Saccharomyces cerevisiae S288C: one gene and its partner. The protein of the gene in region 1 purifies or fractionates together with the protein of each later gene. This does not show direct contact. Each region holds a gene or a part of one and is shown on either strand. Other genes may lie near its edges.

Region 1 (2,747 bases):
TTAAAACATTATATTAAGATTATTGATTTGCCTTTTAAGGGTCCATACTCCTGGGAGAGAACATTCAGGATAATATATATACCTGAGAAACTGGCGAGTAATTTGATAATTGTTCGGATTGCATTGTTGCCGAATCCTATAACATTAGGTATACATAGTATACAAGCAATTCTCCCGACGTTATAGGAATTCACAAAAGAGAATCGATGGTGTTACTTTATCTTCCTTCCCGTTATACTTTGTCTTTCATTATCCTATTAGATTACATTTCAGTTTCCATCAATTTTTGATGGCTGTCTCTCAATTTATATTATCTTCTTATACCGTATATGATGGTATACTAGTTTACAATATTAGACGATGGATGATGATTGGTTCTTATCATAATTTGATTTCGGCAGAAGCAATATTAGAGGTATTGTTGTAACGAAATTCCAATGTCATCTGCTTAGTATTATTAATGTTACCTGAATATTATCACATGCTGCTTAAAAATGTGTTATAAGTATTAAAATCTAGTGAAAGTTGAAATGTAATCTAATAGGATAATGAAACATATGAAACGGAATGAGGAATAATCGTTGTATCACTATGTAGAGATATCGATTTCATTTTGAGGATTCCTATATTCTTGGGGAGAACTTCTACTATATTCTGTATACATGATATAATAGCCTCTCCCAACAATGGAATGCCAACAATTATCGAATTATTCACCAGTTTCTCAGGTATACCTTGTATACCTAATATCTTGTATACCTGATATCATAATGTTCAATAACAGTAAAGTGCTAATAATTATGTATTTTTTTGCCGATTTTTCAATATTTCACCTGTTTATCGGTGTCAAAGTACTACGTTTAGTTTACTGTAGGGTTAGTTGATTTTTTTACGGCTAAATTTATGTTGTATTACGGGCTCGAGTAATACCGGAGTGTCTTGACAATCCTAATATAAACAGTCTTAGGGAAGTAACCAGTTGTCAAAACAGTTTATCAGATTAATTCACGGAATGTTACTTATCTTATATATTATATAAAATATGAATCATATTAAGTGGTGGAAGCGCGGAATCTCGGATCTAAACTAATTGTTCAGGCATTTATACGTTTGGGTAGTTCAGCTAGGGAAGGCCGGGTTTTATCTCATGTTGTTCGTTTTGTTATAAGGTTGTTTCATCTGTGTTTTATGAACGTTTAGGATGACGTATTGTCATACTGACGTATCTCATTTTGAGATACAACAATTTACAGTTGTACTGGTCCTATAGTGTAGTGGTTATCACTTTCGGTTTTGATCCGGACAACCCCGGTTCGAATCCGGGTAGGACCTTTTTTATTCATTTTTACATAATATATGCTGAATATATTGGTTAAAGAGGTTTTTTTAGTTCCCAAATGTCCACAGTAAAGTAGATAAAGCAATAGCTATTTCCATCAAATCCAAACAATATTGTATTACCCACTTATTATTAAACAATGCATTTATTGGAGAAACACCCGCTTTCCGGGTAATAGCAGTCTATTTATTCTCATTCATTTATAAGCGGCGGAGAAAAATGATTGAGGAATTGATATAATTACACAGTAACTTTACGGAGCCTAAGGTAACAAGTGAAGTTTGGATAGCAGTTTTATTCCCATTTTTATCTGCAGTATAGGGAACTTGGAATCACCTTTTGAAAGAAGAGAAATGCCTGGATTTACAGCTCCAACAAGAAGGCAGGTGTTGTCTTTATACAAGGAATTCATCAAGAATGCTAATCAATTCAATAATTACAACTTCAGGGAATACTTTTTAAGTAAAACAAGGACTACTTTCAGAAAGAACATGAATCAGCAAGACCCAAAAGTGTTAATGAACCTATTTAAGGAAGCTAAGAACGACTTAGGTGTCTTGAAAAGACAGTCTGTTATTTCTCAGATGTACACATTTGACAGGCTGGTCGTAGAACCATTGCAAGGAAGAAAACACTAAAACCTGGCCTAACTGGTCATTGCATGTAAGAAAGAACTTTCCAGTAATTTTTTCCTTCTCACGTCAGGAAATTCGTATGGTTATATCTTATAGAGAGGTGGCCGCCTTTAATTTGGAAAAGATATTATTAGATGATATTCCTAATTTTCGACCGATACTTTGCATGGTTGGACTTCAATTAGATCATGTAATTTACTTCCTTAATATCAATAGCATTTCTTTTTTGGTAGAAGATTTTTCTTTTCTTTTCTTTTCTTCAACCCACATGGGACTATAAGAGGAGAGTTTATAGCTTGTATATAAAACGCTATAACTAAAACATAAGCCCACTCTGAGGTGAGATGTCTTTACGGTATGATAACAAGCTGATGCAATGAGAGATCCTATGAATTGCTTGGATTCTTTTACATCAGGCATAAAGTTTCCGAAGTATGCAATAAAATGAGTATTTGCTTATTTATTGTTTGTATCGGGCGATCTTACACCTACTTTATGTGCGTAATAGTTGCATCTTCTTTTTTCGGACCATTCCATCGGATAAACTTCTTAGGTAAAAGTGAAAAAAAAAAAAAATTCGCTTATATATTAATCAAGTCATCACTTGGAAGCCGTTCTCTTCCGTTTACAACACGAAGAGCCAACTGTTTTCTTGTGTCATTCTTTAGCACTCTTTCTTTTTATTTTTACATTTTTTAATTAAGATCACCAAATATACCGGGAATATAATGAAGAGAAAAACTGCTGAAGTTAAAGGTGAGAAGGAGAGAAAT
Region 2 (4,397 bases), on another chromosome or scaffold:
ACTAAAGTTCCCGCACTGGAGTTTCTTAACACTACTCTCCAAGATAATGTATCTTTTATTGAGGAAGCTAAATCAATAAGGAGACAAGACTACATCAATGAGTTAAGTAATTCTAACAGGTTCGAGCTTCATGGGGACATGACTAACTCAGACGCGCAAAGTAATCTAGGATCTAACGTTAGAAATTCTTTTCCGCTGGATGAAATTCCCGTTGATGTGGACTTTAACCTGGACTTAGATGATATAGTGAGCCATCAGGGGACACCTTTAGGCTCTCACTCAAGTTCACAGAAGGATGGAAACGATTTCAAGTTTAATTATCAAGGAGATGAATTGGTGTTGAATTTTGAGAACGATAATGAAAATAACAGTAATGGAGGAGAAGATACATCAGTTGAAAATGAAGGGCCGGTAGCCAATCTCAAAGACTACGAATTGGGGTTAGAAGCGCAGGCTTCTGAAGAAGAAAACGATCTTCAACAGAAACTTAACACCAGAATGCAAAGAGGACATCGCGCCGATGTAGGTGGGCAATTTTCTAAGGTACAATTTGATGCCAAAACGAGTTATCCAAATGAAGTTCTCAAATTCAACCATGGAAATTACAGTCACTTAATGGAAAAAAACAGGATTAGAAAACTAACCGGCCAAAATTTTCTCACCTCTAACATAAGTAGTTTGGTAAGGTCATGTGGTGAGGAAGAATTTTTTTCAACAAATTGGTTAAGTATATTTAACGACTTTTCCAATATAAAGACTAGCGAATGGGACTTATATCCCCAAGGTTTTAGTTCAGTTGAAAGAGGGAGAAAAAGAGCACATTCTTTAGTATCAACCCAAAGCTCAAGTAGTACCAGAAGTCACGAATATGGTAGGAAAAGTTTTCGCAATAATAAGAACGATAATTATTCTTCCGATATGGAAAATGATAATTTACTTTTAAACCTTGAACAAATTAATGAGGATTTGGAAGATGGGCACTATATTGAAGAAAACTCTCAAGGTAACATCCTAGATTTTAATTTGAATCTACCTCCTTCAAGTTTTGGAAGAAGTCATACCAGAAACTCAACCAGGTCTAGTGGTTTCAATGAAGATATAGTTGGTGCTCTCAGAAGGAGAGTCGGGCCATCTGAACAGAATTTTGCCGAGGAAGACGATTCCAGCAACAGTTGTTTTTCTGATGGCTCTCAGCAAAATTTGCAGCAGGACAAAACAAATTTTCAAGACGTCATTCTGGATTATCAAACTAAAAAATTCTACGATTACATCAAAGAAAGATCAATTGTTGTCGGAAGAACAACGCGCTCCAATCCGCCTTTCAAGAGAAAGATGCTGTTGGTTGACATCATCCCAAGCCGCATGGGCGAAGCTCAAACGGGAGCTAACTTTGATGATGTAGAAAGAGGTGTCAGCAGACAGATAGCCGCCAGTGCCTTCCTATCCTTACTGAATTTGGCTACGAAAGGGATGGTCAAGTTGAACGAATATCCTGTTGCAGATGCGGTAACTAAAGATCTTAAACTGAGAAGAGAGGACGAAATAATTGTATATGCCTGAATTTTTATTTTCTCCTTCCATATGAGCGACAGCGGTTACTAGCCGCTGTCCTCAGGTTAATGATCCAAGTCCGAGATCCGGGCCGAATATGCTTGCGGGGAAAGAAATAAAAGTGCATTGGAGAAGAAAAGGATATGCTCTTCAATTAGAAGCGCCGAAACACTAACATCATGCTAGCGATATCATACGTACACTATATAATGTAAAAAATGGGCTTAAGAATAACTCTCTTATTTCTTAACTTTTGTTGCGGTTGAAGAGCTTATAAAAGTACTAGTGGCCTAAAGAAGCTACAGCGCCGATAATAATATCGATTTCGACTTTTCTAGTATTTCGCCGATGATTACAATGATTAACAACAAAACTTTCAATAGAAAAACTACGGGAACACTGAAGAAGCTGGTTTTGTCATCAGACAAGTCACTGCGAAGATCTTTCAACGGGGCAAGCAGTACTAAAGACTTCGTGTTCTCGGAATCAAGTAAAGTAGAAGAATGGTGGGAATCAGCCAGATTTAAGAATATCAGTCGTCCATACTCAGCTACGGATGTTGTAAAGCATCGGGGCAGCCTTCCTGCTAATACTTCAATTTATCCTTCATCTTATCAAGCTCGAAAGCTGTTCAACTTACTAGAAGAGAATTTCAAGAATGGTACTCCACTTCACACGTTGGGAGTTATCGATCCTGTACAAATGAGTCAGTTGGCCCGTTGCAGAAATATCAAAGTTGCTTACATATCTGGTTGGGCTTGTTCTTCCACATTAGTTGGATCTACAAATGAAGTATCGCCGGATTTTGGCGATTATCCATACGATACTGTGCCGAATCAAGTGGAGAGAATATTCAAGGCGCAGCAATTGCACGATCGAAAGGCTTTCTTGGAGGCCTCCATCAAAGGTTCTACTCCTGTTGATTATTTAAAACCAATTATCGCGGACGCAGACATGGGTCACGGTGGCCCAACGACTGTAATGAAAGTTGCTAAGTTGTTTGCGGAGAAAGGGGCTGCTGGTATTCATCTTGAAGATCAGATGGTGGGAGGCAAAAGGTGTGGCCATCTAAGTGGGGCTGTTTTGGTGCCCACAGCAACACATCTTATGAGATTGATTTCCACCAGGTTTCAATGGGATATCATGGGGACAGAAAATTTGGTTATTGCAAGAACAGATTCCTGTAATGGTAAGCTGTTGAGTTCAAGCAGTGATCCGAGAGACCACGAATTCATTAGGGGTATAATAAGAGATAACGTGGTGCCTTGGAGCGAAAAATTGATTGAGATGGAGGACAAAAAAATTCCCAACTCCGCCATTGCTGACATGGAAAAAGAATGGTACCATGAAAATGAGCTGTTTACATTTGAAGAGGCCTTAGAAAAGCAGTTTACGGCAAGCGAGTTTGAAAGCTATAAAGAAAAGAAGGAAGACCTTATGGTAAACAAGCTGGGTAGAGCATACCTAAGCTTAAGAGAAATGAAACTTTTAGCTCAAGAAGTGACACCACTAAAGAAAATTATATTTGACTGGGATGCTCCGAGGACCAAAGAGGGATATTACATGTTTAACGGTTGTATTGAAGCAGCTATTAGAAGATCTTTGGTGTTTGCCCCATATTCTGATATGATTTGGCTGGAAACGAAAACTCCTGACCTGGAGCAGGCACGCTCATTTTCAAGAAAAATTCATAAACAACTTCCAGCTACCAAGCTAGTATATAACTTATCTCCTAGTTTCAATTGGAGCGCTCACGGCTTTGATGATAAGGCATTAAAATCCTTCGTATGGGACTTGGCAAAAGAAGGCTTCACGTTGCAACTGGTTTCCCTTGCCGGTCTGCATTCAGATGGAGTATCATTCTGGGAATTAGCCAATAGCTTCCAAAGTGACGGAATGAAAGCATACGTCGAAAAAGTGCAAAAACGGGAAAAGGAGACTAATTGTGATATCATGACACACCAGCTATGGTCTGGTGCAGAATATGTTGATTCCTTAATGAAAGTTGTCCAAAACGGTGCTTCATCCCAAACTTTAAGTACATCTGGTGAGAGCTTTACCGAAACGCAATTTTGAATACGCTTCAAGAAGATAAAAGTATAAATAATACATATTGCCAGCAACTTAGTCACATATCTCTTTTATCTCTATTTATCCTCTTTTTATTAATTTATGACCACGATCACTATATTTAGTTCGAAAGTTAGTGTTTGTTTTGCCAAGATATCCTCGCAGAAACAGTTTTACTTAAAGTTTCAGGTGTTGCGTGGAATGCCCCTGCTAAGCTGTCGTGTCGCGCTCTTCCCCGCGTTTGTTTCACATTATATATCATATGGCGTATGACGGTATGGGTGAAAATAAGCGTAGGCTGGTTGTGTGTATTTCTCTCGCACTTTGAAAGGGAAAAATAAAAATAGAGTCTATTAGGAAGCTCACATATGCCGGGAAAAATTACGTAAAGCATCAAAAGGGAAAGAAAATATAGGGAAAGATAAAACAAAAAGCAGAACGGTATCAGGCATTCTTGTTTTAGCCTTTATGTACGATATGGCGTTTATTATGGAGAATATTGAGGTATTCAACTATTTAATACTTGCTATAAATTCTGCCAAACTACTAATCATTCCGTTTATATAACTCAAGAAAAGAGAAATACAGAAACAAATAGATCAGATGCATTTCAAAGATTTAGGATTGCATGACTACACTCTCAAAAACTTGATGTATGAGAATAATTGCTGTAAATTTTATGATGCCGTGGATGAAAACAACATCTCATATGTTTTAAAATTTGTTCCCTCAGATGTGACTTCGGAAGGGGATACTTTCCCATTCGTGGATCGCTT

What was found.
Region 2: the proteins of ISD11 (region 1) and ICL2 purify together in Saccharomyces cerevisiae (affinity purification with mass spectrometry, with the first as the bait; one large-scale study listed by BioGRID). This does not show direct contact.

Annotation. Positions count from the first base shown.
Region 1 is NC_001137.3:249,026-251,772, forward strand, and holds ISD11 (Isd11p), read left to right. Parts: upstream 1-1,692; coding exon 1,693-1,977; downstream 1,978-2,747. Other genes in the region: TPA1 (oxidative DNA demethylase), read left to right, coding at 2,703-2,747.
Region 2 is NC_001148.4:566,499-570,895, reverse strand, and holds ICL2 (methylisocitrate lyase ICL2), read left to right. Parts: upstream 1-1,899; coding exon 1,900-3,627; downstream 3,628-4,397. Other genes in the region: REC8 (Rec8p), read left to right, coding at 1-1,560; HAL1 (Hal1p), read left to right, coding at 4,225-4,397. UniProt on the Saccharomyces cerevisiae protein: Catalyzes the formation of pyruvate and succinate from 2-methylisocitrate during the metabolism of endogenous propionyl-CoA. Does not act on isocitrate.